Coturnix japonica: one gene and its partners. The protein of the gene in region 3 purifies or fractionates together with the protein of the main gene of each other region. This does not show direct contact. Links are inferred from orthologs where the notes say so. Each region holds a gene or a part of one and is shown on either strand. Other genes may lie near its edges.

Region 1 (4,463 bases), on a different chromosome or scaffold from region 3:
AGAAACCCTATTTACAGAGAGATAAATAGTCTCTGTGGGACAGAGTTGGTGGGATGTTCTGAAGACCTGCTCTCTAGGCCACGCACGGAGGACACTTGGTTCCTCGAGGGCGCAGTGCCCGCCTAGGGGAAAGTCCCCGGACCGCAGGCAGAGAGTGCCACGCGCCGCGGGCGCCCGCCCCGCCCCGCAGCCCACGTGACGCCGCCGAGACGCCTCCGGGCCGAGCGGGTGAGCGCGGGGCGGGCCATCGTCACGGGCACAGACACGCAGGTAGTGCCGAGCGACCCGGCAGCCGGGCCGCAGCACCAACAGAACGGGGCTCACTCTCAGGCCATCCCGTTTTGTGGCTCAACTTTATCCGCGTCGGCTGCTCCGCCAAGAGTGAAAGGCTGCATCCAAAGCTGTGTGAGGCCAGCGTCAATGCAGGTACATGGTGTGCGCGGAGATGCTGCCCTTATTTTGACAAGTCTAACCCAAATCCTTACCGAGTCTATAACAAATGGCACATCCGTAGCTGGTAACTGTAGGCGCCTAATTACCCCATTTCAGCATACGGAATGGAATTCAATTTGCCGACATCTGTGACAATAGACCTGCGCTCCCTTGTAGTCAGTGGAGACATTTTTAGGGCAAGAATTGCAGTGAGTTACTCCCACCTTTATTTCCCTGCGTGGGAAGGAAAACATCCTCACACGTGACAGTGTTACGAATTCCTTAAGCCAGGCTTCCATCAGGTGACTGGTGTCATTTCAAACGCGTGAACTCAATTATCTCATGGCTTTATTCACTATCCTTCAAGATGTTTTTCATAGCACAGCAGTAATTAACTGTGGCACTAGGTGTTACATCAGCATAGAGTAACTCGGCGTGTTGAGAAATTCTTGAATGCGTCCTGGTAATTAACTCTTAACAGTCTTAATTAATAGCCTGCAGTCTGGATCTACCTGATAGGTGCAGCTGTGTCACGGGGCTATCAGGCTGCAGCACACAGTCTGTAATTAACGCTGTATCTTGCTTTACTCCTACGCTGCATGGCAGGAATCTGTTTCTCAGCTCTGTTTCCTCACAGAACCGCGACCATTCAGACTCATCGCTGCCCTTCACGTTCCGACCCTCCGCTAGCTCTGCCCACCCCCCTGTTTCCGTTCCTTTCCACGCTGCTGACTCGGGCCATTACTCCACACCTCGGCATAGCGCCGTGCCGGGACAGCCGGGCAGCACGAGCCGAGAGCCAAGGCTGAGAGCAGCCGGCTGACGAACGGATCCGCGCCTCCAACGCCCCCACAACCGCCGCCCGCCCACACGCGGCGCTGCCGGGGCACCTGGGGCGATCCTCCGCCTCACGGCCGTCCGTGCGCCCGCCGCCACGGCAGGTGCCCCCGGCAGGGAGCGGCCCCGCCACGCTCCCCGCGGAGTCGGCGCCCGGCCGTCAGCGGGGGGAGGAGCAGGGTGCGTGTGCCTTTAAGGGAGGCTCCGCCCCTGCGCTATATCCCGCCCCCCCGCCCTTCGGGCCAATAGGAGCGCGCGAGAGGGGAAGGCGGGAGAATGCGAACCCCTGGCGGCGCCTCTAGCCGCGCCTTATAAGGGCAGGGCCTCGCGCATGCGCGTAGCCAGGCGACCAGGGGCGGGGGCTCCAAGTGGGTTTCGCTGTGGCGGCGGCCGTTCCGCCGGGCGCTGAGCGGGACCCGAGGCGGGCGGCTCGGTCCGGGTGGGTCGGTCCGGCCCGGCGGTGCGCCGGTCCCGCGGCATTGAGCGGTCCGGCCGCTCGCGGGTAGAGGGGCGGCAGGCGGCAGGAGGCGGCAGAGCGGAGCGGGCCGGGCGGGGGCTGCCCCGTGAGCCGGTGCCGGCGGTGGATGTGCGGCTGGAGCGGCTGCAGCGGGGGGATGATGCTGGCGGGGCCGCAGCTGGTGGCGGGGCCGGCGGCGCCGGGCGGGGAGCGGGCCCGGCTGCTGTCGCTGTACGTGCAGGAATACCTGGAGTGCGTGGAGTCGCTGCCGCTGGACATCCAGCGCAACGTGTCGCTGCTGCGGGAGGTGGACACCCGCTGCCAAGGTGGGTCCGGGGCTCGGCCTCCTCCGCGGGGCAGCGGGAGGGAGGGACCGACCGGAGGGGAGGGGAGGGCGGCGCGGGGTGGGGGGGAGGCGGCCGCCCGCCGCACATGCGCTGGGCGCGGGGCTCCGGGCTGCGGCGTTAGGCCCCGGCCTCCCCGCTCAGCTTGAAATCCGGCGGGGGGTGGAAGGGGAAGCGCCGAGCAGGCAGGGCTGTCGCCTGTGAGCACGAGGTGTGCCCGGGGCTGCGGGGCCGTTACGAGCCCTGTGCTCCGCCCCGCCATGGGGGCCGTGCCCGCCGGGGGCACACGGGGCGGTCAGGATGGAGTGCTGGTGCCTGCAGGATTTGCACAGCTGCTCCGTGCTGACAGCGTTGGAACTCTCTTTTCTCAGCTCCACCAAACTCAAGCAGATGAACTGTAATGGACGCTTGGTCCTGGTCTGTTTTTCTTAGCCTCCTTTTTAAGCAGAGGTTTTAAAGCTGTCTAGCTGGACACGGGTACCTCCTCTAATTAATAAGGGGTTAATAAGGAAGTACTTCAGTGAACCTGTCGCTCTGTCACTACACATTTTCTAGTCTTTCTAGTTGTTCAGACTACAGAGTGCCTTACTCGGCACTTCTCAGAGCAAATATTTTATCCTGTCAAGGCAACAGATGCAGCTGAAAGCTGTAGGAAAGCGAAACCTGTGTTTTCAGTGACAGCTGGAGTACTGGCACTGTGAGTTATTAGATGGGCAGAGCACTGACTTCATCTTCCTCTGGTGAAGGTCTGCAGTAGAACAAAGTGCTGCTGGTTACTGTTTCCATACAGATTTCAGTATTTATAGTAAAAAGTGACCGTTCCCTCTTAAGGTGCTGTTTCAGGATGTCAGCAGGAAAAGAAATCACTGTGAGCAACGCTGAGATAATAACCGTGGCTTCCATTTAGCGCGAGCTTGAATCATTCTAAAACTGCACAAAGCGTTTAATTTAAAAATGAAAGGCAGCCTATAAACAGAGCTGTGCAGGATGAGAGATTGTTCCGTGTCCATTCTGGTTGTGGAATCAGTTGAGTATCGTTCATAAATTCGCTTACCCGTTACAGACCTGTAAGTTAGTTGTGAAGGGATCGGTGCTGTATCGAGCACCCCGTCACATCTCGCTGTCAGCTCCACTGATTTAGTTCCTTCTGCTTCAGCAGTTCCTCTGTCTTTCTTGTGTAGATGTAGTGTCGCTTTCCGTCTGGAAAATAGTATTTTAAAATCCATCAAAAGGGAAAATGTGGAGGACAAGTTCTGCCTCAATGTAACACACAACTGGATGTAACTTCTTGGTACAACCAGCACCACTTGGAGTGGTTTAAGTTGTCTTAGATCCTGATTGTACATCTGTTAATATGTAGCTTCCACTGTGGTACTTTGTTGTAACTAAGGGCTGTTGAAAAGGTAGTGCTAAACCCTCGTGTATAGAAAGGAGGAGGCAGAGGACCTGCATATCCTAATTTTGGATTGTAATGTGATGGTTACACGATTATAGTGAATTCTGAGATTCTTCCTATGGTATGAGAAGCTTTGGTTTGTAGGCCAGGGCTTTGTAACTACTCTAATATGGAACCTCAGCAAAAAAATCCTGCTTTGTCAGATGCTGAGTCAGAATTTGGACCATTCTGGCTTTGGCAGCAGCGTTCACCTTTCTGGGCTTACCCTTCCCTTTATCCAGTGCTCAAAAGCATCTTGCTTTTTCTTAGAACTTGAGAAGCTTTTTATGCAGTGGATTACCACCTTAAACACTGACTTGATGCTCAGGTGTAACTTGAATTAAATACCTGATGTAGCCCACTGGGGTATACTGTAATTAAAACTTGTACTGTTTCACGTCCGTTTGAACGTGCTCAACAAAATACAGATATGTACCTTCTATCTCGTGTAATTATTCGTACTGTGTTTGTTTTGTAGAAGCTTTAAAAGAAATAGACGATGTCTATGAAAAATACAAGTCTGAGAACGATCCCGTTCAGAAGAAACGCCTGCAGCAGCATCTCCAGCGTGCTTTAATCAACAGTCAAGAACTGGGAGATGAAAAAATTCAGATAGTTACTCAGATGCTGGAACTGGTAGAGAACAGAGCCCGACAGATGGAAACTCACTCTCAGTGTTTTCAAGACCTGTCTGAGAACGACAAGCCTCTAGAAAAGGCAAAGATGGAGTCCTGCCAGCCGGAGAGATCTTCACGTAGACCCCGTCGGCAGCGGACCAGTGAAAGCCGCGACCTGTGCCACATAGCAAACGGGATCGACGACTGCGACGATCAGCCACCGAAAGAGAAGAGATCCAAATCTTCCAAGAAGAAAAAACGCTCCAAAGCCAAACAAGAGAGAGAGGTTTCACCCGTGGAATTTGCGATTGATCCCAATGAACCGACTTACTGCTTATGTA
Region 2 (3,943 bases), on a different chromosome or scaffold from region 3:
CTGTGGGCACAGGACTGAGCGGAGCTCTGGCTGAGCTGGGAAGGAATCGCTCTGCAGCCCTTTGTGAGGAGAGAACTCACTGCTGGTAGCCAAAGGGAAAGCTTTCCTATCCACATTTCCACTGTATTTGCTGCGTTATGGTTATGAATCATCTCAGCCTTAACTGCATAGCTGTTCTTGAGTTACTCATAGCTCTTGAGCTGACCCCAGGTGCTGGCTGTTGCTGAGATGAGGGTTAATGCTCTGCAGTCTGCTCCTGAAGTCCTTACTGTTCCTCGTGGTGATTTCCTTTATGAGTGTTGATTTCTTAAGAAGCAGCAGAACGATACTTTAGGACCTTGAAAACAGGTGATGAGCAAGGTTAGCATTTGTACCTGTGTGCCACCACCTGGTTACGCTTCCAGACATATTCAGTTTGGCAGAGGCAGGAAGCAAGGCCTGACATTTTGCTTATATATGCTGCCATGAGCCTTCAGTGTTTCTGGGTTGTGTGGGATATGGGGTTAAAAGGAAACAATTGGTATTTGGGGGAATGAGGTTGTTGCTCACTTGATGTCTTTTCCCTCCATCTTTCCCACAGGGAACAGTAACTGAGGAGAAATCCAAGGCCACCCACCACGTGTATCCAAGTCCTACCTCAATGGATGATGGTAAAGATGCTTTCCTATTTGGAAGTGGAAATAATTTTGTAACTAAATTCTTTTGGCACCTATAGGAGATTTCGCACAGGCACTGAATGATCTTAACCTGCTCCTGGGATCTCCTGTAAAGCAATTTTAGGATTAAAACTCCAGATAGAATTGCTGTGCTCTGCTTCTAACCACCAGGTTTAACACAGCGTCACAGAATGGCCTGGGTTGGAAGGGACCCCAAGGATCACAAAGCTCCAACCTCCAGCAGGCAGGGCCACCAAACTCCCCATTTCATAGCAGCCCAGGCTGCCCAGGGCCCCATCCAACCTGGCCAAAAAGAGCTCTGATGTATTTCTATGTTAAACAGCAGGTCCTTGCTGGTGCTCTGCCATTGCCAACTGTTCCTGGTATGCCCTGGCATCCCAGCTCCACTAGAGGGAAGTATTCACTTCCACATTGGGATGATGGAGGACCCTTTGTCTATTGGTGCTTTTCTGTGTGTTCTGTGCTTCCTGGAATACATGTCTAGCCACAGGTTTGCGTTGCTGTAACCACTGCTCCAGGGTCTGGGCAAGGGTTGCATGTGTTTCAGGCTCTGTTAGTCAGCAGCGGGTTGGGGTATGGATGTGTACAGCCAGGGAGGGAAAGGCAATCACTGTTTGCATTAAGATGATTTTCCTAATGTAATAGCTGTGATTTATACAAGCTGAGCACATGAATGTTTATTCATGACAGCAAAGTGATTGCAGGCAACTGTATTGTTGTTGTGGGTCAGGACACTGTAATTTCACTGCGATATACTTAATCAGAGATAACTGCAGTGGCTTTCCTATGCTTGACTATAGCAAAGCAGAATAATGTGCTATCTACTTTGCAGTCTGAATCTGATCCAGATCTCTTTTCCCTTTGCAGATGAATGGTTGAGACCCGTGATGAAAAAAGACAAGCAGGTGCTGGTGCACTGGGGCTTCTTTCCAGACAGGTAAATCAAGGGGGGGAGGAAAGCACACCTCAAGTCTCAAGTTAGTTAAAAGCAAAGGGCTGCTTAGAACTTGCCATTAGGTCAGTCCGTGTCCTCAGACAAGCTGCTCCTTCAGCTTACCAAGTTTGACCTTTCCTGATAGCCATGCTCTGCCCTCAGTGCCTGCATGGAGGGTGTCCCAGCTGTGCAGCTGCTCTCATCTCTTGTTGTGCAGAGCAGTGGGCACGGATGTGTTCTCCTGTGCCCTACACATGTTTCAGCAGGAGAGAGCAAGCAATGTCATGCTTAAGCATCTTTCTTTGTACTGGTGAACTGTTAAATATTTCTCTATCATATGACCAAGGGTGTGTGTGCTGTATAGGTGTGTCTCTAAAGAGGTTTATAAATACCAGTATAAGCATAAAAAAGCTGCTGCACACATATTTTCTGAAGGATGGCTTTTCCAGCTGCTCAGTGCCTGAGGGGTCACCAGGGAGTTTGGTCTTGAGTGCAGTTTCTTAATATTAGCTATTAGATTTATGAGGGGAATAAGTGCCTTAATAATGACTGGGTTGTGCAGCTGTAGGGATTGGAGAAGGGGATGCATTCGTTTTTCTCCTAAGAGTGTGGGTATCTCTTACTTTAAATCCTTAAGAGACAATTAACTTACTAAGAGGGTTTGCACGAGTGACTCCACGTGAGCTGCAGCCCTGACTCCAGAGGCTAAATGTGCACTTCCCAGCAGGAGGAAGCATTGCTGAGATGGGATCTGCGATCAGAAAGTGAACAATGTGCCCTGATGCCTCAGCACCCCCCTTCTCAGAGTGCCTTGTTCCCACAGCAGGAGCCAATGATGGCTCCTTTGTTTGCCTTTCATTGAGTGGAAAATAATTCACCGTTCCATCCCAGCGGTGTGATTTGCAGATGTCAGAGTTGCTGAATAAATATTCCTGCTGGTGATCTCTGTGGATGAGCAGCCCAGGGGACCAATTTTGTTTTCTCTGCCTCTTCTCATTAGCTACGACACTTGGGTTCATGCCAATGAAATAGATGCTGAAATTGAGGATCCTCCGATTCCTGAAAAGCCGTGGAAGGTGAGTCTGCCTGGAAGAGCTTCCCAGAGTCGCTGTATTGGTAGAACCCATCTGTGGGTGTGACTGGTAGATGTTTTAATGTGCTGCTGACTATCAGTGGCTGTATTTCCATATGTATGGAAAAGGAAAGTGCTGTTCCTAGAGCTGTAATGAAAACACCCAACACCCTTCTTTGGTCTGAGGGGGGCACTGTGAGGAAACGCCCCTTGTGGGCCATGAGGGCAGATGAATGCATCCCTCATAATGCTAAAATGACCATCTTCGTTCTGGCCTGACTTGCAGGGTTTTGTGTTAAAGGTATTTCCTTCCTCTGCTGCTGAGATGGAGCTGTCTCTGGGAGGAGCTCTGACTGCTCATTACTGGGGTGTAATTCGTTAAGGAGTGGGGATGGGGATAATACCATATCTATGTGATGTTCTTCTGAAGGATGCTGCGATAGAAGAGAACCATCCAGTTGGGGGCCCAAGGTTGCTTCACACGTAGTACAGGATTTAAAGCACTTCTTTGTGTGTCCAGAAAGTTCATACATGGAAGTGACCAGAAGGAGTAGGAGGTGGATCATTTGGAAAGGGGCTTCTTTAGGAAACAAACCTCTGGTGCAAATAGAACCTTGTTGTTGTGGCAGCTTTATTTGTAGTAGTTTCAGGTACTGGCAGCAGAGCGGGGCTGGATGGGCTCCCCGTGCCCTCATCCCACCCTGCTGGTTTCCCTTGGCTCAGCACTGCTGGCAATGCTGCCTCTTACTCCTGTTGGTTCTTGCTGTGACCGAGTGTGCCACGAGCCCTGGTACTGCTGCAGGCAGCACAGCTGTGGGCACGCAGCTGTCCTGGGAGTGAGAGCCCGAATGGGAACCTCTGAGATGACAGCAGCTGCTTCAAGAGCCCCTGAGGGCCACAGCTCACATTGCTCTGCAGCAGTGTTTGCTTAATGGGCAGCTCTGCTCGTAGCTGACATCGCAGGGATGGAAGAAGTCATTTTGATTTGCTTCACTGCAAGAGGACAATACAAAGCAGTCACAAACAGCAGTAAATACTACTTAGCGTCCTATTATTGGACTTACTCTTTTATGCATCACATGCAGTGTTGTTCTGTATCTGTGCTGTTAATGTGAATAGCAGAGTTAGGAAAGGGCAGCTCAGGTCAGAAAATAACTCCATGTGATGCCTGTTCAGACACTCCCTATTCCAAACTGCTGCTTGTAAGTAAATGGGACTTAAGCTTTTTGTGTATAAATCAATCTGTGTCATACTTGCTGG
Region 3 (4,387 bases):
ATGGCTTTCAGAGCAATGGAACACAGCCCTATGATGGGCAGCATTCTCCATGCGGACTTTGACTCAAAGCATTTAGAAAGCCCCAATTCAAATTGCATCATCTGCGATGCTTAATTGGGGAGGGAAAAATAAAGACTGCGAAATACAGCATGGTCTGGGTGAGACTGAGAGCAAGCCACAAACTTTAGGTACTGTCCTCCAATAAGAGCATCCATCTATATGCTCAGCAATGGCTTTACAGAGCAAGCTCCACTCTATAGAGACCACATGGACCTGCATCCCCTCCCTCCCAGCACCAATCTATCTTTTAACTTCAATCAGAGCATCTCCTTACAGGAATACACCCCTCCACAGGAGGATAAAAGCTTTTTCACTTTCCTTTTCCTGGGCTGTAAGTTCTCCCCTTGCAGGAGAGCAGTGAATAGTGCAGGTCTGCTGCGTGACACCTGTTGGAGCCACAACACTTCTGCACACACAAATGATGCTTTCAAGAACAAGTTGTGAAACCCAACCCCACAAGAGAGATTTCAGACCTTGCAGATGCAAACCCGAGACACTCCTGAAACAGGGGAACAGCACAGCTGCCGGTCAAGCATCTAAGATTTGCAGGAGCTGCTTTAAAGCCCTTAGGAGGCTGCAGAATGCCAGCTACAGGCACCTTGTGAATATGAACCTCTAGAGAGGAGCTCTGATGCCACTAAGAGCCAGAGATGAGGACAAATCCCAAGCAGAGGGACACTTTTGCATGTCACCTGCTGCCTGAGCAGGCTGGAAGGACACCCCAAACTCACAGATCCTCACATTAGCAGCAACGTTGCTGTCACATTGAATTTTAAGCGTTAGTACCTGGACTGAGCTGTGTAGAGTGAGGATGGTTTGCTCTTAAGGTGGAAAGGACCCAAAGCTTGGAAGCAGCCCATGAGTGGCTCAGGATCAGAGAGGTGACATCCTGGCTGCTTGCTCGTGGTATGCCCTGCCATGTGGGTTCTCCTCGAGCCTTGGCATCCTTACCTATGGTCTCCCTTCTCACATGCAGGCAGAATGAGAGCAGTACCTGCAGCCACTCTGTGACAGCAGAGCCAGGGGAGCTGGGAGAAAGCAGCACAGCACCGAGAGTGCACCCATAGCCCTGCAGCATGGAACAGCAGCCATAGAACTGTGTTGGCTTCACCAGCCACGATGGCTTCCCAGTATGTATGGCTCATACATGCTAGGAAGGTGAGCAACTCACTCCTGTCATGGTTATGCCTTTCCGACAAGCTCACAGCAGACTGGTGGCCATGAGCACAGCGTGAGCTATGTCTTCCAGCACCCGTACACAGCAGCGCTCTGTGCATGGCTTAAACGCAACGGGATCACGTTCTTATTTATGTACCACCTCGCTGGGCGTGCTGAAGGTTTCTATGCCCCCATTGGACACAGTGACCATGCATAAGTTGGGCTTGGAAGGGACCTGTGTAAGAGGAAGGGCTGGGTGCCCTCTGGCCGCTCTCCCTGCTTCAGCCCCAGCTTTACTCACGCTGCCCCTCAGCTGGGGGGGTGGGGAGGAAAGGAGTGGGGCTGTTCCTAACGCCGTGCTGTGGGGTTGGAACTACGTGATCCTCGAGGTCCCTTCCGACCCGGGTCATGCTGTGATGCTGTGTGGGAGCAGGATCCTACAGGTGCTTTGAATCAGCACAGGCTCCTCGTGCTCGCTTGGAAGCGCCAGAGGAGCCTCCAAAGCAGGAAGCAGGAGCCGTGAGGGCAGCGCTGCTGGGCCGAGCTGAGCCGGGCGGGGCGGGGCGGGGCGGGGCTGAGGCGGCCCCGCGTAGTGGGCGGCGCGATGGGCGGGAGGCTCCGTCCCGCAGCGCGCCCAGCGCCGCTCGCCCCGCCCGCCGCTCCCGCCATGCCGGGCTCCCCCCGCACACACACACACACACACGCGGGAGGCTCCGTCCCGCAGCGCGCCCAGCGCCGCTCGCCCCGCCCGCCGCTCCCGCCATGCCGGGCTCCCCCCGCACACACACACACACACACACACACACGTACACACTCACACTCACACACTCAGGGCTCAGCGCGGTACCGGGCCCTGCCCTGCCCCGCCCCGCCGGATGGCTGCTCCCCCCCCCTCAGCCCCTCACGGCGCCGCGTCCCCCCGATGCCGCCTTTCCCCTCACCTGGAGGCGGCGGTGCCCGGCGGAGTCTCGCTCCGTCCCGGCGCTGCGCTGAGCCCCGCGCTCGGCCCGCGGGGGAGGCTCGGGGCGCCGATGTGTGTAACCGCCGCTCGGCCGCCGCGGCGGAACGCTGCCCGCTTCTCTGTTCCCCGGGAAATCCCGCCCCTCCCCGCCGCAGGGAGGGGGGAGACCCGCCTCGCGATTGGTCGAGCCACGCGTCGCTCAGCGCGCGGCCCAATCGCCTCGCTCGGCCCGCCCCCTCCGCCCGCCCCCATTGGCCGCGGCCGCCAGGAAGGGGATGTGGAGAGGAAGGGGAGGGGGGAGCGAGACCCGAGAAAAATGTCCGTACGGCCGGCAAGCCCCGCCCCCTCCCGCCCCCGCAGCCTTCCCATTGGGCGGCGGGCTGAGGAAGCAACCAATCAGCGCGGCGGACCGCTCCGCCGTCACGTCGCGGGGGGGTATAAAGCCACGCCCCCTCTCCGGGGAGCCCTTTTGTGGATGTTTACATCGGGGCGGACCGGGCCGTGATGGCGGCGGCACCGACCGCGCGGGACCGGCACGCACCGCCACGCCGCCTTTGTCCCACCGACCCCACACCACTTCCGGGAGCCAGCACGTGGGGGGGGGAACACAGCCAGCAGCCAATGGCCGCGGGGGGCGGGACCGCACGGCGGCGGAGCGGGCGCTCCCCACCCCCTCCCCTCACACACACACACACACATACACACACATATACACACACACATACACACACACATATACACACTCACATACACACACACACACACACAGCCGCGCTCCCCCCCCACTCGTGCGCGCTCCCGCGGCGACCGTTGGGCGGGCGGGAAAAGCGCGGGAGCGCGCCTCGCTTCCTCCCCCCTCAGAGCTCCCCGGGCCTTCCCATCCCATCACACCCCACATGAGGGGCCCGCTGGGCGGGCAGCGCTGTGACATACCCTGTGACATACCCTGAGCGCGCAGCGAGGCGTCCTGAATGGAAACGGGAACTCCCCCCGGGGCCCATTGGCCCTACGAGGCCGTTCGTCACCGCCGGACCGCCCTCGGGGGGCTGATGTGGGGAGGAGCGACGAGAAAGCAGCTCGGAGGTGAGATCGCTCTTCGGTTTGCTCGCTTAATGTTAAATACCACAGGGGAAAAAAAAAACCAACAAAAACACCCCCAAAAAGCTCCTCCCCCACGCTCCGGGATTATAAAAAAATAAGAATATACACATTCCAAGAGCTTATTACAGTATAAAGTTCCCGATGCAGCAGCTTGCGCTGGGAACACAACCCCCCCCCCCCCATCCTTCAGGGCTGTTCTGCGTACAGTCTAGATGGTCCCACCGAGAAACGAACAAACAGACCAAAAAGGAATAAAAATCATAAGAAAATAAACCATCCCAACCCACCCCCCCTCCTTTTCTTTTTGTCCCTCCTGCCCCGGCTTGCTTGAAGTTAAGGCACAGTTCCCAGCTGGCAGGGCTGTGTCAGTGCCCGGCCGAGCCCTTGTGGGCGGCAGGCAGCAGGCCGCGGCGCTGGGCGTGCTCCAGCACTGCGCTATAGCAGAAGTAATACTGCTCCGGGGTCTGGATGCTGAATGCTCTCTGTGTCCTCATCCGCTGCACCGTCTGCTGGATGTCCAGAGTACCCACATCCTGCAGCTGCGATAGGCAGATGTCCAACGCACACAAAGTACCTGGGGATGAAGGCAAGCAACGCTCAGCCAACACAATGCAATGCAACACCCCCCCTGTGCTGGACTGTGCTGGACTCCTTACCCGTCCTGCCGATGCCGGCGCTGCAGTGGACCACAAGCGGAGGACCCCCCGGGTGCCCCTTGAAGCGTGGTCCCAACGCACTGACAGCCACACGCTGCTGCTGCTTCACAGCCCCCAAGAAGTCAATGAGTGTTGCTGCCGATGAGGGCACGCCGTAATCCGGCCAGCTCAGGTATTGGAAGTGAGAGAGCAACCGCCGCTCCTTGCCCTAAGGGTGAGTGGGGTGGTCAGTGGGATGGGATAGCCCCGCCACAACCTTAGCACATAACCTTAGCACACACCTCGGCACTGTGGAGCTCTAAGATGGTTTTCTTGTAATGGCTGAGGTTCTCCACGCCCAGGTTGGTGATGGTCAGCGCCCCAAAGCGCATCTGGAAATCCTTCTCCAGGGGCCAGTACTGGCCGCACTTCCTCCTGCCCCCCTCCTCCAGCCTGCGGATGAGACAAGGTG
Region 4 (3,943 bases), on a different chromosome or scaffold from region 3:
GCAAGTGCTAAGAAGGGGACTGGTAATTTGTTTTTACTTGCTATGGGTAGACTGGGTGAGCAAATTAGCATAAAAGCTTTCTACTATATATAATATGGTAAAAATGTAAGCTAGTAATACTTTATTTTCTGTTTTTGTTCTATTTTTAGGATTTCTTCTTCTATTCACTAGTGTACGATCCTCAACAAAAGACTCTACTTGCTGATAAAGGAGAAATCCGAGTTGGAAACAGATACCAGGCAGATATAACAGACTTATTAAAAGAGGGTAATTTCCATAATTTAAGTTGTCAGGAGGCCATGTGGAATGCAGCCACTTTTATGTATGCAGCCTGTGTGGGAGACAGAGGTTCCTACCACCACGTCCTGTGTGCATCACTGCTTTGGTTTGTTAGGGACTGAAGCAGTTGCCCACTGCATGCAATTAGTTGTGTCTCAGCCCAGGCTCTAAGCGGGCATTTGTCCAAATCATAAAAGTTGTTGAAACAAATTGAATTAATTGCCTCTCTCAGAGCTTGCGCTCATTTTAGGAGATTTCAGAATTTCTATGGGAAGCACAGATTTCCATCGCATCTGTATAGCCTTTGTGTTTTTAATCGAGCCTCGCTTCCCTGTGAGAGCCGCTCCCAAATTATTGCCAATTAAATGCTGTCTCCCCACATCAATTTGCCCATTATTGCTGGATGCCTTTTCCTCAGAGCCCCCTGCCTGTCTGCTGCTCTTGGCTTCCAGCCTAGACTTCTCACCTGCAGAACAAGCAGGAGGAATTTGCTGCCTTGAGCACGTTGTGAGACCTCAGCCTGCCCTGCTCATGAAGCAGAAGGAACACAAGGACACATGCTCAGGAAAATGGGCTGTTAGTTAACAGATACCAGCTTCACACTGGTTCTTGCACTGCAATGGGTGGAAGAGCTCTTCTCTGAGACCTGTGTAGGGCTCAGGCCAATCTGTTGATGCTCTCAGAGAGCTGGTGTTATGAGCCATGTTGAAAGGGGCTCTACAAAACTCCCCAGGCAGAGAGGTGAAAGCAGTGAGGCACCTCAGTCTGCTTCAGAGCTTTGCAGATGCATAAAACAGATACTGTTGGGCTAATGTTAGAATAAGCCAACAAATTGGTTGGGACTCTTGTTTAATTTGTCTGTGGCATTTATTTGGCAGCTGGGCTGGCCTCCTAAGTGAGGATGAACTAATTTGAAAGGCATTCTCCTCCTTCAGCCATCAACATGGGAATTCAGAGAAGGATAATCTCCAGATGTTTCAAAAGGGGTTTGAAATTAAAAAGAGAGACTCAGCTCCTGTATTTTTTCCAAGATATTTTGGTTTGTTTAGCATTGGGAGAGTAGAAGTAAAAGAATCTGATGCTATGATTTGCCCCTTAGAAAGCAGCTGCTGCAAACAGGGCCAGCTACCCTTTGTCTGCTCAGAGCAGCTGGGAGTGTGCCTGCTTTCCTGGAACTGCGGCCAGGTAGAGGAGAAGGAGAGAGAATCAGGGGAGGAGGCTGAAGAGAGGAGGCTGTTTGGGGGAAGGACGTGCTCTGTTTCCCATCACTTGTGCCATTAGATATCAGCTCTTCAGCATCCGGTGGCCTAATTTGGATGAGTTGGGTTGATGCATCTGTCAAGCTGAAATTGTCTCAGCCAAATGGATGAATGAAATTTTCACTGTCAAGGCAGAGTATCTGAGTTGATTTGGTGGTTAAATAATTGTGAGATAAGAAACCAGGCAAGTAATTTTATTTCCAAACAGCCACGCTGAGCGTTTCTAACATGTTTTTCAACCAGGTGAGGATGATGGAAGAGATCAGTCAAAACTTGAAACAAAAGTTTGGGAAGCCTTCAACCCACTAGTAGACAAGCAGATAGACCAGTTCTTGGTGGTAGCACGGTAAGAGCAATTTATCACTTCTTTGAATAAGGTTTTAGTAACTCATCTTTTCTAAGCACTTTATTTTTGGTGTGTTCTTTATACTTTACTGGTACGAATGCTGGTTTGGTTGCTTGATTCATGTGTTTCATTTTGAAATGATGGACGTGTTAACATGCCTTCCTGGGAACTGCATGACTTTGTGAACAGCTACTTGGATTTACAGCTTTTACTTTCAAAAAGTTAATCATTTTCTTCTATCTTATGTGAAAATGATCCTGTATCTGGTGAGGTTTTCCAAGTTCTTTGGCCAGCAGTGAGCTGAATTCCTGACAGTTCATTAGAGTCCACTTTGTCCCTTTTTTCAAATCCAGCCACGTTTCAACATGCGATGATAGTTAAGTTGTAATAGTTAAAAGCGAAGATGTTGGAATCTAGGCACTAGAAAACAGGTAGAACGAATAAAGTAAATCCCTGCAAATGAGTACAGATGAGGAGTGGATGAGTACAGATGAGGAGTGGTGAGTTTTATGCTTCTACTTAAACGCAAGGCGGTCTGTCCATCAGTGTTTGCTTTATAAAATGCTTGTGACCCTTTTCAGTGTTGTTTGTTTATATGAACAGAAGCTGATACTAAAAGTTAATGTCTACAATTAAACAAGGAGGTAGTGCTCTCCAAACTGTCTCCTGGGTAAGTTTTTAAGACTGCGGAAGCATGGGAGGAAAGCAGTGTGAGTAGTAGATGGTTAGTTAGACCATCTATAGTCAGTGGAGCAAGTTGCTATTAGATATGGGGAGGAAGGGGGTGTGTTTTCCCCCCCCTCACTCCGCACACACATCTTGAGTTACCACACTGCTGAACTTTCCTCTTGAATTTTCTTGGGTGTGGTATTGCTGTGTCTATAGTGGGTTAGTTAATGGGGTGTCTCCTGAGGAGATAACATGAGAGCTCATGTGGAAGAAACTGTCTGGAACGGACTCTTAATTCTGATTGGAGCTGTTGAATGATGCAAAAAGAATGCATTTATGAAACAATAATAAATGCTTTCAACGCGTTGAATGATACAGACTTAGGAAAATACTAGGGGGAAAGAAAAGGGCAGAGTTAAGGAGAATTGAGTTAAAATGTGGAGATTTAAGTGTGCAAGACAAGAAGTTTCTGTGCTCCATAAGTAGTGCCTCCTCTTTATTTCTATGGAAACTGCAACAGATACAAAGAGCACAATAACGCTGTTTGGTAGAGCAAATTCTCAGCTGCAAAATGCTGTTTTTCAGCATAGTCACCACCATTAGCTATGCATTTTTTCCAGCAATGAACAAGAGCCTGTGTGTCACGCTCATAGAAATCTGCAGCAGCAGTGGTGACCCACTGTTTCACAGCTGCTACGATGGTGGTGTTGCTAGGAAAAAAGCGCCTGTGCAGCCCATCTTTCATCAGCCCAAATAGATGGAAATCAGAAGGTACCAAATCTGGACTATATGGTGGGTGTGGTAGGACAGTCCAGCCAAGACTGGCAGTGTGCTCCACTGTCTTCAAACTGGTATGGGGCCTGGCTTAAGGCTGTCATCTTCTCTGACCTGACTGTGGATATTTGAGCCTTCAGCTTAGTCAGCATGGTGATGTAGCAGTCAGAGCTGATGGTATGTCTGGCTTTCTGGAAATCCAGAAGGATCACCTATGTCGTGTCCTACAAGGCAGTGCACTTTACGTGCTGAGAGCTGCATCTTCAACTTTTTCTTCTATGGGAGATTGACATGTTGCCATTCCATGGGCTGCTGTTTTGACTCCAGCTTTTACACACCACATCTCATTGCTGGTCATTATGCTGTCCAGGAAACTGTCAGTTCTGTATTAGTTCAGTAGGTCCTGATAAACTTGCATATGGTGTTCTTTCTGTTGGCCTCTGGCATTGTGAGCTAACGTAATAGAATAGGAGACATTACTTTTGGAGCAGCCCTTGTGCTTAAACAGATGCGCATAAGGAAATGGCTGAAAGCAGGGAGAAGAATCTCTATCGGTGATGCAGGAGAAGAGATGGAGAAAGCTGGAATATCTCCAGCAAAGGACTCCTGCTGCTTT
Region 5 (4,653 bases), on a different chromosome or scaffold from region 3:
GTGGGACTTTAAGCACCACAGCAATGCCACCTGCAACTCAGTATATGCCATCACAGAAACAGTGATGAGAGTGAGAATCTGGGTGCTGTGTTTCCATGGGCTTCCAACACAGAGAAAATGGGAACAATCTGATTTCTGACTGGAGGTGAAAAAAAAGGCCATCTCGGGACATCTTTTGCAGCACATACTCTTTGGAGAATAGTATTTCTGCCTCAAGAACCGTGAATGATGCCATTAGAACAGCAACTTCCAGCTGACAGCTATGCTGCAGACCTATCTTTAGAAGGTAGAGCTGTTCCAGGTAAGATTTAAGGGCCTGTGCATGTTCCCTTAATTTCATTAGAGGCTGACTCGGATGAGCAGGCTATCGCTGCTTCAAAGGCACTAAAGCTGCCTCGGTGCTGATGGGTGTATGAAACATTGTTTCTCACTTCATTGCAGCTCCCACAAAGAATTATTAGATCAGGTTAGTGATAGATACCTAATAAAGAACGGCTCTGCGAAGCAGTTTATTTTACAGCCAGCAAGTTCTGGTCTAGCAGACTGTGAAATCTTCAGGTTCCCGTGAGGATAAATATGCTGAAATAGACTGCAGTTATATGAAGACCTCCACCTGCTTTTTTTTTCTGAGAGACTGGAAGGATGTGTCACTGTATTACCCTGAGCTGGAAGTAGCTGGCATTGAAATAGCAAACAGAAGCAAGAGGAACATTTATTTTCCCCCTTAATAGATATTTCAAGGCAACTTGGGAATAAAAAGAAGGAAGTGCACTAAGACTGAGCCCTGCCCTCAGTATTTATCCTGAGACACACTTGGTGATGCAAGGGCTGCTTGGAACGTGTGTATTTTAGTGCTTTTTGGCTGTCTGAGAGGCCACAAGCATTGATGTTGCTGTCTGTATTTCACATGGGTAACTTCAGCACAGCTCAGCCTGCTCTGAAGTGCATCTTTTCACATGTATGTTCCATGTGTACGAGCTCAGACCTTGCAGCAATACATTATCCTATATCACACTGTTCCTCTGTGTCTGAGTTCCCTGTGTATGAGCTCAGACCTTGCAGCAATACATTATCCTATAGCACGCTGCTTCTCTCCTTGTACAACACGTCTTCTCCTCAGCCAGATGAGCTGATTTTGCTCTTCCCATTGGCAGCAATATGTACTGCCTGCAGTCCCGCAGCTGACAGCACATCCTAAGGTGATTTACCAACATTTCCCTCTCAGTTGTGTAATTAGAAACGATATTTATTCAACACTATCCCCTCAGGGTCGGGTGCTGCTTGGAGCGTGTCTGAAGGAGCTCATAACGAGGGCAGCAATGCACGTTCACCCCCAGATTTGCTTTTCCTTGTTTTTGCTGTGTTTTGTGGCGGTGTTTCATTAGCACGGAGCAGCCTGTGGGTGCTGTGTGGGGTGGCGGTGCCGGCTGTGTGTGGAGGCCGCTGTTTCTCTCTACCGCGGTGCCCTGGCAACGACGCCCGCCCCCATCCCGGCCTTCCGGCCGCCGTGTGAGAGCGGAGGAGAGGAGGAGCCTGTGTGTATGGGCAGACAGACGGCAGCGCCTCCCAATAGGATCACACAGCGGCACTGCTCTGCCCCGCCGTGTCTGCAGGCGGGGAGCGGGACTTCCGCCGCCGGGGAGGCGGTTTTGTGTGTGAGAGCTTTGCGAGCGGGGTCCCGGCTTTACCCGAGGGGCAGCGGAGCTTCTCGGCTCGTTGCGGGCACCGATAGGAGCGAGAGGCGGCGGCTCCTTCCTGAACCGCTTTGGGGCATCACCCATCAGGGGGTCCCTGCGGGCGTGGGGGGCCCCCGCGGGCAGCAGCGGGGTCCCCCCGAGGGCCGCTCGCTGAGGGCGGCGGCTCCGTCCGCGGCTGTCGGCTCCGCGCTCGGGGCCGAGGGGCGGGTGGGTGGGCGATGAATGGGTTCAGCACCGAGGAGGACAGCCGGGACGGGCCGCCCGCAGCCCCATTCTACGGTCAGAGCTGCTGCCTCATCGACGACGGAGATCGCTGTGTGCGGCCCGCGGGCAACGCGTCCTTCAGCAAGAGGATCCAGAAGAGCATCTCGCAGAAGAAGCTCAAGCTGGACATCGATAAAAGCGTGAGTCGCGGCCTCCTGCCTGACACGGGGTGCCCCGGGGGCTGGGGGCGAAGCACATCCAGCTCTTGGCAGTAGGGCACGGGATGCCCTGCCGTAACACTGCGGCGGATTGAGGGACGTGGTGCAGAGGGGAGAGCAGCAGGGGTTGTTTAGGATGTGTTCAGAGCAGGGCTACAAAGCTGGTGAGGGGTCTGGAGCACAGGCCATATGAAGAGAGGCTGAGGGAGCTGGGATTGTTCAGCCTGGAGAAGAGGAGGCTCAGGGGAGACCTTATTGCTCTCTATAACTTCCTGAAGGGGGGTTGTAGTGAGCTGGGGGTTGGCCTCTTCTCTCGTGTAATCAGTGATAGAACTAGACGGAATGGTTTTAAGCTGCGCCAGGGGAGATTCAGGCTGGACATTAGGAAGTATTACTTTTCAGAAAGAGTAGTCAGGCATTGGAATGCACTGCCCAGGGAGGTGGTGGAGTCACCGACCATGGGAGTGTTCAAGAAACGCTTGGATGTGGTGCTGAGGAATATGATTTAGCCTGGAAGTATTGGGAATGGTCCTTAAGGTCCCTTCCAGCCCGTGCCGTCTGTTTGACGATTCAATGAGTGCAGCACTGGAGCGGATCACTTAAAAATAACCCATTGCATCAAACTCAGAATGTGAGGTGCCTTTTAAATAGAGCGCTTGCACATGTGTTGGCTGCTTGGCACCGAGCGGCTTGGTTCGCTGCTGGCTGCTTTGTGCCACCAAGTGACAGCTGTCAGCTCAAGATAGAAACGGGCAGAGGACGCACAGAGCAGAGAATGCACAGAGCAGAGAATGCACAGAGCAGAGAATGCACAGAGCAGAGAATGCATAGAGCAGAGAATGCACAGAGCAGAGAATGCATAGAGCAGAGCAGCGGTGGGAACTGCAGAGGGCATTTCTCAGAAGTGAGACTGTTGCCGGAAGTCTGCTCTGCCTGTTGTTCTTATCTGATCTCAGATCGAAAGCACTGAGAAAAATAAAGAAGGCGAAGTTCCGAGTCCTTCGGTTTGGCAGCTTCTTCTGTTGGCTGTGTCCCTTTTACGCAGCCAAGATACAGAAAGTGATGGGAAGAAGGGGAGTAAATTTGAACTCTCTGGGGTTTTAGGGATGAAATCTTGTTTCTGCTGGTCTCTGTGCCGTGGGTTTGTGTGCTGCTGCAGTCACTTCATTCTAGGAAGTAAGTCTTCATTGCCAGGTTAGAGGCTTCAGATATAAAAAGAAGGAATCGGATTAATGGAGTGTATGAAGTGTGCTGCATGAAGGCATTTTGAATGCAGGGCGTGTGCATCACTTGGAGATATTCGTATTTTATTGCTATCAAATAGTTTTGATCACTCGTGGTCCTTTTTTGTGCTGGTTCTAGTGAGATAATCCCAGTTAAAATATGGGGCATCTGTGACAAGGAAAGCTACAGCAAAGGGATGCTTTTGCTGTTGGTTTGCCTTTTAATTGAGCTAAATAGCCAACTTCTGTTTTGTCTAAATTGATCATCTCACATTCTGCTCGAACCAGAAAGTTCGCAAGTCTGGAACAGAGCAACATTTCTCTTGGTAGCGCCCTGACAGTAATTCCTAAAGCAGATGCATTTCCTCCAGACAGCACACTGTTTTTTTCTTCTGACATGTGATTACACCCATAAAAAAGAAATATGTTATCTGCAAAGGTTCGGCTGCAGCCCTCGAGTCCTTCATTTTCCTTGTTTTTAGTGTTCGTAGTGCAGGTAATCTTTCATGCCTGGGCTTTAAGATTAGAAATGTCTTAATGTTAGTCACGAGGCAGTAAGCAGGTACTCTGTAATACAGCTGCTTGAGTGGATGCCATTTTTACACTGCCTGTTTTCATTGTATTGTTTTTCTTTATCACTTCTGCTTTTTAGGTGAGACATCTGTACATATGTGATTTTCACAAGAACTTTATTCAAAGTGTCCGAAACAAACGGAAAAGGAAAACAAGTGATGATGGAGGAGACTCTCCTGAGCATGAGACGGACGTCCCGGAGGTCAGTAGCTACCGGTTGTAGCTTCTTTACATTGTACATCTTTACATTCTTTACATTGGTTGTAGATTCTTTACCAGTTTGGAACATGGTGAAATTTCACTTGGATATTTTCAGCACCACCAAAACTACTGTGAAGTTGCCCTGATTTTTTTTTATTTCCAAGACTCAGCTGTTGTGTGATATCCTGGTTTTCTTCATCATCCCCATAGGAATTCTCCGACCGTGTAAAGCTTTCTATAAAAAGAGGTATAATAATGTGACTGCACAGCTTAGTGTATGTACCATTTCCAAACAGGGAGCTGCTGGGTTACTTTACCTTTTTTAGATAAGAAAACATTGCTTCCTTTTTTTGAAGCTAATCAACTCATGTATTTACAGAGGGGACTGTGCTCCCAATGTGGTTCTTAGTTCAAAGGCTCTGGAACATCAGATCAACCTCTGTATGACTGGTGACAACCAGAGACATTGGGCTTCTGCAGACCTTTGCATGTCATACTTCTAGCTTAAAATTGCATTCAAGTTATAGACCGTATTGG
Region 6 (3,943 bases), on a different chromosome or scaffold from region 3:
AACAAGGGACTTGGTTTTGTGACATGACTGAGGTATGACATGCTATATGAGCACAGTATGAAGTCTTAATGGCCCAGTAAATAAAATGGAAAGCAACGATTCAGGTTAAGCTGACACAAGTTAGTAACTCCTAGAAGGAAAGGGCATTGCAGCGTCTGAGAGGGTTCCTGTCTCAGGTACTAAGAACCGCAGAACAGCAACTAGGTGAGCATCTCTAGGTTCTAATTTGCCTTGTTCTCCTTGATCTCCTGTGGAAACCACTTGGGGTTGGAGCTGCTTTCTTCATTTTCAAACAGTCCAGTTGCAAAGAGTGTATGAATTGCATGCTTAGAACACAGTCAGCAGCAGAGCCAGTATAATACAAACCAGTGCAGTTAATCTCAATTGAGATTTCATCCCAGACATTTGCTGTGTATTACGTGGCACGCTTGGTTCAGTCCCTGCAAATGTAAAGGGTTATTTTCCCCTCAGGCTCCCGCTGCTGTGCTGCCAAGCTCCAGCAGTCTGTTGGTTTGTACAGCAGCCTGCTGACACTGGCTGTTGACTTGGCAGTATAAGTGCACTGACAAGGAGAGCACTGCAGTCATGGTTTGACTACATCTGCCTCTACCTGCACTGAAGAGGGGACTTGCCTGTTTTTGATTGTGATCTGTGGTGAAACATCAATTCAAAGATGTTTTCTTTACTGACCATGTGAGAGATATTAGCACAGGTTCCTTTTCAATAGCATTCAACTGCTGCAAGCCTTGAAGGTGAAGGAACTGAGTGAGAACAGTCTCTTGTCATTTTTTGTTCTGAGGATCTTAGAATACAGGCATTGTCCTAGTGATGAGTCCTGGTTCTCATATACTAAGGGATGAACTGCATCTGTGGTGGAGCCCATGTTTCTCACAACGCACTGAGAGGAGATGGTGTTAAAACACAGTACTGCTACCTCTGTGCCACTGGTAGTTGAGGTTCTTCTCCTTTCTCTCCTTCCAGCAGTCCCTCCATTGACTACAAGTACTGTCTCTCCATCTTTGGCACTGCTGGCCAACAACCTTTCGATGCCTCCAAGTGATTTGCCGCCTGGTGCCTCCCCAAGGAAAAAACCCCGTAAGCAGCAGCACGTCATCTCCACAGAGGAGGGAGACATGATGGAAACAAACAGCACTGATGATGAGAAATCTACTGCCAAAAGCTTGCTGGTGAAGGCAGAGAAGCGCAAGTCTCCTCCCAAGGAATATATAGGTAATGCCATCTCTGACACTCTTCTCCTACTTGAACATCTGTGTTTTACCTGTTGCCTGTCACGATTGCTGCCGTGCTGGTCTCCCATGTCACAATAGTAACACAGCTGTCTGTGATCCCTTTTGTAGATGAGGAAGGTGTGAGGTATGTCCCGGTGCGTCCCAGGCCTCCCATCACATTGCTCCGCCACTACCGCAATCCTTGGAAAGCCGCCTACCACCACTTCCAGAGATACAGCGACGTCAGAGTGAAAGGTCAGTGTGCTGCCTGAGGAGCTGCATGGGCTGATGATGATGATGATAAGCTGCCCCACAAGCAGGCTTTGCTCACAGTATGGAACACAAGCGTTGGTCACTCACGTGAGCTAATGACTTAGTTAGCTAGATGTTGCTTAGATCTTTTCTCTCTCAAGACTGAGAAGAAAAGGGGAGGATCTTCTATAGAGTCAGATACAATTCTAACTGTCTGGTTAACCGAAAATGTTATGTTACTGAGAAATGTATTTATGTACAAGGATAGAAACTGCCTAAAGAAATTCCTAAATAGATTATATAGCGGTAGGCTATGGCTTGGCACTCAGATTGCCTTACTACCTAACAGTGCTGCCAATGTAATCAAAAGCGTTCCCTATTTAATGAGTCTCGTGAGCTAACAGATGGGCCTGGTGCGTTTCTATGGGATGTTTCTGATAGTAAGAGGAAAACTGAGATCAGGTTCTGTGATTTGGACTTTGTGGCTGGTAGGAAGGAGCAGATAGGTATTGCAGCAGTGTGAGATGGACTGCTTGCTTCTTCATGTACAGTGTTGGAAGCAACACCTCGTTTTAGAGGAAGAAAGGGAAAATCAACATTGCAAACAATAAAAAATGATCTGAAAATGCAGATGAGCCATTGGGGGGTGAGAGCAGCCTTCAGGTAACGTGGCAGATGAGTCGTTATGTTCCTGTCCCAATCAAAGTGTTGCTGACTCTTCCTTAAGCAGGATGTGTGGAAAGCAGGAGCTGGGTTAAAGCTTTTGTTTGAGAACAGAGGCCTGGTGGACTCCTGAAACTTGAACCTCTATTTGTGTTTTTTGGTGACAGAAGAGAAGAAAGCCATGCTGCAGGAGATTGCCAGTCAGAAGGGTGTATCCTGCCGTGCACAAGGGTGGAAGGTCCATCTGTGTGCGGCGCAGCTGCTGCAGTTGGTAGGTGCATGGGACGTGCCGGCTGCCTGTACCGCGGGGAACACGGAGCTCTGTAAGGCAGGATGTTATCACAAACTCAGTACATGCTCACCTGATGCAGGGATGCCATAAGCTGGTGTGTAGCGCCCAAAGGGAGTGGGACACGCTTTTCCCCTTTCTCAGGAATGTGGCGTTAAGTGGCTTGGAAACTTAGTGTTGGTTTTGATCCAGACATAAGAGCTGATGTATTTTGTACAGATGATCAAAATTGGCAACTCCCTCCTGCTGATGCACAGGTCTGAAGAAGCGTCTGTTTGGGATGGTGCGGCTGATCTGAGGAGGCAGCACTGATCCACATTCCTGGATGCTTCTGTTTCAGGTTGGGGGTGAGGTAGGTGCTCTGCATTCTAGCACCAAACTCCCCAAAACCTCTGCATTCCTGGAATAGTATTGTGAGAGACAGGGGAAACAGTTCTGGCTAGGTTCCATGTTTGTTCAGAAGTGGAGCAATGCTGTGAATAGGATGTTTAGTAAGAACAATAATGCCACACTCAGCATCAGAGGCTCCATCTTCTGAATGACTAACATGAGCAGCTGAGAGGGGAACAGACGATTGTCTTCTCTGTGTAGATTTCATAATGTGGGCAGATGTTTTATGGGCCCGGTGGTGAACCTGCTCATGAAGTGCTGTTGTCTTGTAGACAAACCTGGAGCGTGACGTGTATGAGAGACTGACGGCCTTACAGGAGGGGCTCATTCCTAAGAAGAAGGCAGCAACTGACGATGACCTGCATCGAATCAATGAGCTGATACAGGTAGGCTCCTACTGGCCCCTAAGCTCAGAAGAACTCTTCTACCTTTAGTAATTGCAGCAGGATGTTTTCCAAGTAAGTGCTGAATCTGGCTTTAAAAATAACACAATAATAAAGGTGCTTCTCCTGCGTCATTGGTTAGTGGGGGCTTTATACAGTAAAGGTGTTTGTTGTGACTGTTTATTCTGCTGTTGGTGACGATAACGTTTTATTTCAGGGCAATATGCAGAGATGTAAACTCGTGATGGATCAAATCAACGAGGCGAGAGACTCGATGCTGAAGGTGTTGGATCACAAGGATCGTGTTCTGAAGCTTCTGAACAAGAACGGAACTGTCAAGAAAGTATCCAAATTAAAGCGGAAGGAGAAGGTCTGAAGCCAGAATAATGACTCTGGAAATGGAGGACGTGTACAGGACGGAGTTACGACCTTTTGTAGTTTGAGTTTATTTTTAAGCAGAGCATCTGAATAAAAAACAAAAGGATGAGTTTAGAGAACAGATGGCAACAGATGGACGTGTGGAGCCCGGTGACCTGAAGGGATTGTCGCTGACCCGTCGGAACGAACAACGCTTTCTCTCAGGCTCATTCATTTTTTAATGTGTTTGGCAGCCCCACGTGTGTAACCCGGTGATGTGTCGGTGCCGACTATTGGAACAACCAGTGCTGCAGCTGGGGCTGAACCAGGTGAGGCGGCCACGCTTTAAAGCACTGAACACGACACTGCTTCCTGCTGCC
Region 7 (3,943 bases), on a different chromosome or scaffold from region 3:
CAGTCCTAAGGGCTGCACAAGGGTCTCCTGCAAGTGTTATCTCCGCTCAGTGGTTACTAAATTTAAAAAGTAACCACTTTAAATAAACATAAAGTTGTTACTAAATTATGTGAGGTATTTCTCTCTTCCCATGTTACTGTCCAACAACAAAATCTAGCAACCAAGTTAAATAGACAATACTATTCTACTCATAATATTTGCAATATTTTTGTCTTAAGTGAGATTTATACATTCTGCTGCTTGCTAAGCTTGCAAATATTTTGGCCTGGATCTTTTAAAAGCCTTACATAAAGCTTTATAAAAATGGTTACATATTTTTAATTAGACTCACTAACTTCAGCAGCACTAACCATGAGAAAGAGCAGCACACAGATCTCCAGAAAACAGGAGCCTAATCACAGCAGGGAGGTAATTTGAACTTCAAATCAGACAAGAGTAAAGTTAATGAGCACACATCAGATGCCTTATCTGATTACAAACAGAGTAACTTACCCTGATTTGTCTTTTTCGTCAGCCTCTGCATTTATGGTAGGATTTTCCATTTCTTTAATCTTTTCCTCTTCTTTATCTTCTAATTTGATTTCATCTTCAGTTTTGATTACATTCAAGTCCTTTTCTTGGTCAGGCTGCGTATACACTGAATCTGGTAAATTTTTTTTGTTCCCCTAAGACAATAAAACCTTCAGTTAATTTACAAGAAAAAATAAGAATTCAGAGGATTTCAGAAGAACAAAATGCACAAGTTATTGTGAAGGGAAAAAGAAAGCACTAGATTCTAGGGCTCTTTCTAAAACTACAGCATTTCCACTGGTTTTATGTTTGAAATTCTCAGCACACATACAGTAGTCCTTGGTTGAATCCAATCTCCTAGGTTTTACTACAGCAACATTAGCACACAACTCTTAAAACAGTTCACAGGATATGTCTGCGCTCAGTATGCAGAAACACCAGCATTAACGGTCACTGTGGAGTTAGTAGCAGCAGACAGGCCAGGGCTGGTGCCACTTGCATACATCACAGCTAAGTTGCATATTGACTTGAAGAACTACACCACTTCCAGAGCAAACTGCTGTACCTTCACTGCTCAGCTTACCACCTCAGTTCTCCTTTTCTAAAACCACTGGGCCAGTATTGAGTTTTGAAAAGGTAAAAAGATTTGTCTCTCTGGATTAGTGAAATAATTATGCCACTGCATACACCATATCTCTCTAGAACCTGGGAGGGCTTAAAAGCCTAGCTCAATACAAAATAGAAGTATCAGCAGTGAAGATAGTTGTAAGCATGCATTATCCAGATCACAATACAGCTGCATGCTAATCAGTCCCCATTTGACTCAAGAGTGCCCCAAACAGGTGGAAAGCTTCATCTGCTTCCTGCCAATTCAAAGACTTTGACACCATGAACCTCTAAGACAGACACTGAAGAGACAAATATTGCTCAAAACTAATCTACAGCATGTTATTTGTCTAGTTTTAAATCAATTACAGAGATTTGTCTTAATACAAACTCATAGTTATCAACACATTATCTGCCTTTATCAACAGGATATAACATGAACATTAAAATATTTTACCAGAAGCACGGGCTTATCATTTTCTTTACTTTCATTATCATTCTCAGCTAGCTTTTTTTCTTCTTGTTGTACTGCCACTACTTCCTCCTGCTTGCGCTCCTCCTTATCCGCTTTTATTTCTTTTACATCCTGCTCTGGATCTTCACGCATCTTTAAATCTTTTTCTTTTTCACAGTCTTTACAAGGCTTGCTTGTCACTTTCTCTGGTAATGCCATTTGAAATTCAATATTTGCTGATGTACAGTACTCTTCAAAGCCATAGAGATATCTAAAAAAAAAACCACACTTCTGATAAACAAGTTTTTTTTGAAGAAAAATTGTGTTACCTAGCAGAAGCTTAATAGAAGAAATATATTTTAAAGCTTACAAAGACTGCATTACAACCAAACTTATAGAATTTATGTATATTGCCACCACTATCACAAGAACTCTATTTCTTTTTAGTGCTGTTTTAGCATAAACTGTGTGGCTTTATTACTTACTTTTTGTATGCACATTTAACATTGTATCCTGCAGCTGAATTCAATACAGGGATTCCAAGATCTTGATAAACTTGTTTCCACACTGCTCCACTTTCAATCTGTTAAAGCAAATGTAACAATGGCTGCTGAATTAACTGACATACAGAAGACCAAGCTGACAACATCTACAATTTCATACAATAGTATTTAATTCTCTCTACAAAATCTCTATTTATTGTACACTCTACTTTGTAATGCAAACTGTAGTCTAGTGTAACTACTTGTTGCAATTTAGCATTTCTGCACTTCAGTAAGCCACAGCTGGCCTTTCTCTCTAGGTGGTAATAAAGGGGGAAAAAATACAAAGATCAGCACAGTTAAAATAATTCCTGAAATATCACATCTAGAATTTTAATTAAATTGAAAAGAAAAAACCTCAAAGTATTAATAATACTACATCCCTGCAGCACTGCACCAGATAATCTAAGACTGGTAGCTACTGTATATCTTTAACGCACCCTTTGGTGTCAAAGCTTTGTGACAGTGTGACATGCTCATTTCTCACCATCTGTGAAGGTAAAAGAGATCTACTGTGATACTAAGTACAAGATCCTCCCTTCTATAGTAGAAAGGCGGCACAGCACAAACCAACCTTCTCAGCTGACAGGCTAGATTTACGAGAAGTAGCTCAAAGCAGTAACAGAATCTACTTGACTAAGAATTCCCTATGCATCAACTACTGCACCAAGATGAATTCCTGTCAGCATGTTCCTCTATATATTGCCCAGAATAGGTAGGAGTTAAGTGCCTCACAACCAACTTGAACTTACAGTTACTTGCCTTTGGGATTTCACTGAGCAGCAACACTTTTCACTTCAGGGTAACGATTTTATTAGACAGACGTTTCTTGAAATCTCACAGAAACACACTGATTTTATGCTGCAGTAATAACACACTCAGTAGACAATTTATTTAAAATATAACTAGTTTCTGGTAGAATTCAGTTTTAATATCTGGAGCTGCTACACAATACTTTATTCTTTATTAAGGAAAAACACCACCCTTAGACTTTATAGATCAGTAATACTCACATTATCAAATCCTCCAAGCTTATGTACAAGTCTGAATAATTTGAACAGATTCAAATTTCTATATCCTAGTACAGGTCGTTTGTTAATAGGAGTCCCTGTAAAGACAGACAGTTATTACTGTGTTTTGAAATATCTTTTTGAGAGCAACATGAAATCTACTCCACATATGCTACTACACCATTAAATAGTACGGTAAATTTTCTGACCATCTGGTGCATCTACTATTTATTTTTTGTGAAAACTAAAACTCATGAGGTTTAATAAGCCATTTTGCCTGTAGTTCATTAATACAAATAAATTCATACATTTGCATTATTCGATATATTAACAAGTATGCACAAACGATGCAACTTCTCTTGCTTCTTATATAAACATTTCTATTTCACCCACTGAAAAAAAACTGCCTCTAAAAGAACCAGCCTATTCCTGCTGAGGGGCAGAGTTAACAGACAGACTCATCTTCTGAGAGGATGGGAAGCCAGACATGTGGGATACAGTCTCACTGTTTCCAAAAATAAACCGTACAGTATTACTAGTTCACAGACTCAGGTCTTTGAAGCACTGCTAAGCAATACCTCTAAATCTAACAAGTCAAACACGGAAATGTGTACCTCTGTCTTCCATGAACTTGTATAATTGCTGAAGAAAGTTCTCCCTTTCTTCAGGAAAAGGCTCTAGTTCCTCCTGTTCAAGGAAAAAAAAAAAAAAAAAAGCACACAAACATTTTACCCTTGTGAGTTACAGGTTGTCAATAAGAAAATCACTTAGGTTCAAAAGTTTAAGTTTGTTTTTACTGCAGTCAGGAACAAGAAACTATA

What was found.
Region 1: the proteins of SIN3A (region 3) and ING2 purify together in Homo sapiens (affinity purification with mass spectrometry; 5 studies listed by BioGRID and IntAct, counting the BioPlex papers as one, with this or other methods). This does not show direct contact. The link is inferred for Coturnix japonica from reciprocal best matches to the Homo sapiens genes SIN3A and ING2.
Region 2: the proteins of SIN3A (region 3) and SMARCC1 purify together in Homo sapiens (affinity purification with western blotting; 3 studies listed by BioGRID, with this or other methods). This does not show direct contact. The link is inferred for Coturnix japonica from reciprocal best matches to the Homo sapiens genes SIN3A and SMARCC1.
Region 4: the proteins of SIN3A (region 3) and MTA1 purify together in Homo sapiens (affinity purification with mass spectrometry; 3 studies listed by BioGRID, with this or other methods). This does not show direct contact. The link is inferred for Coturnix japonica from reciprocal best matches to the Homo sapiens genes SIN3A and MTA1.
Region 5: the proteins of SIN3A (region 3) and SAP30L purify together in Homo sapiens (affinity purification with western blotting; 4 studies listed by BioGRID and IntAct, with this or other methods). This does not show direct contact. The link is inferred for Coturnix japonica from reciprocal best matches to the Homo sapiens genes SIN3A and SAP30L.
Region 6: the proteins of SIN3A (region 3) and SAP130 purify together in Homo sapiens (affinity purification with mass spectrometry; 4 studies listed by BioGRID, with this or other methods). This does not show direct contact. The link is inferred for Coturnix japonica from reciprocal best matches to the Homo sapiens genes SIN3A and SAP130.
Region 7: the proteins of SIN3A (region 3) and ARID4B purify together in Homo sapiens (affinity purification with mass spectrometry; 5 studies listed by BioGRID, with this or other methods). This does not show direct contact. The link is inferred for Coturnix japonica from reciprocal best matches to the Homo sapiens genes SIN3A and ARID4B.

Annotation. Positions count from the first base shown.
Region 1 is NC_029519.1:35,244,381-35,248,843, reverse strand, and holds the start of ING2 (inhibitor of growth protein 2), read left to right. Parts: upstream 1-1,521; 5' UTR 1,522-1,853; coding exon 1,854-2,052; intron 2,053-3,983; coding exon 3,984-4,463. UniProt on the Homo sapiens protein: Seems to be involved in p53/TP53 activation and p53/TP53-dependent apoptotic pathways, probably by enhancing acetylation of p53/TP53. Component of a mSin3A-like corepressor complex, which is probably involved in deacetylation of nucleosomal histones.
Region 2 is NC_029517.1:709,536-713,478, forward strand, and holds part of SMARCC1 (SWI/SNF complex subunit SMARCC1), read left to right. Parts: intron 1-580; coding exon 581-650; intron 651-1,544; coding exon 1,545-1,614; intron 1,615-2,611; coding exon 2,612-2,687; intron 2,688-3,943. UniProt on the Homo sapiens protein: Involved in transcriptional activation and repression of select genes by chromatin remodeling (alteration of DNA-nucleosome topology).
Region 3 is NC_029525.1:1,983,081-1,987,467, forward strand, and holds the start of SIN3A (paired amphipathic helix protein Sin3a), read right to left. Parts: upstream 3,180-4,387; 5' UTR 3,123-3,179; coding exon 3,113-3,122; intron 2,324-3,112; exon of another isoform or gene 2,160-2,323; intron 1-2,159. Other genes in the region: PTPN9 (tyrosine-protein phosphatase non-receptor type 9), read right to left, coding at 3,646-3,854, 3,937-4,144, 4,218-4,368. UniProt on the Homo sapiens protein: Acts as a transcriptional repressor. Corepressor for REST. Interacts with MXI1 to repress MYC responsive genes and antagonize MYC oncogenic activities. Also interacts with MXD1-MAX heterodimers to repress transcription by tethering SIN3A to DNA.
Region 4 is NC_029523.1:3,943,209-3,947,151, reverse strand, and holds part of MTA1 (metastasis-associated protein MTA1), read left to right. Parts: intron 1-149; coding exon 150-267; intron 268-1,781; coding exon 1,782-1,884; intron 1,885-3,943. UniProt on the Homo sapiens protein: Transcriptional coregulator which can act as both a transcriptional corepressor and coactivator. Acts as a component of the histone deacetylase NuRD complex which participates in the remodeling of chromatin.
Region 5 is NC_029528.1:5,890,435-5,895,087, forward strand, and holds the start of SAP30L (histone deacetylase complex subunit SAP30L), read left to right. Parts: upstream 1-1,595; 5' UTR 1,596-1,915; coding exon 1,916-2,101; intron 2,102-3,994; coding exon 3,995-4,117; intron 4,118-4,653.
Region 6 is NC_029524.1:1,643,856-1,647,798, forward strand, and holds part of SAP130 (histone deacetylase complex subunit SAP130), read left to right. Parts: intron 1-981; coding exon 982-1,230; intron 1,231-1,358; coding exon 1,359-1,484; intron 1,485-2,311; coding exon 2,312-2,415; intron 2,416-2,652; coding exon of another isoform or gene 2,653-2,745; exon of another isoform or gene 2,746-2,785; intron 2,786-3,095; coding exon 3,096-3,209; exon of another isoform or gene 3,210-3,210; intron 3,211-3,423; coding exon 3,424-3,582; 3' UTR 3,583-3,943. UniProt on the Homo sapiens protein: Acts as a transcriptional repressor. May function in the assembly and/or enzymatic activity of the mSin3A corepressor complex or in mediating interactions between the complex and other regulatory complexes.
Region 7 is NC_029518.1:34,299,153-34,303,095, reverse strand, and holds part of ARID4B (AT-rich interactive domain-containing protein 4B), read right to left. Parts: intron 3,810-3,943; coding exon 3,737-3,809; intron 3,221-3,736; coding exon 3,126-3,220; intron 2,154-3,125; coding exon 2,056-2,153; intron 1,842-2,055; coding exon 1,574-1,841; intron 666-1,573; coding exon 493-665; intron 1-492. UniProt on the Homo sapiens protein: Acts as a transcriptional repressor. May function in the assembly and/or enzymatic activity of the Sin3A corepressor complex or in mediating interactions between the complex and other regulatory complexes.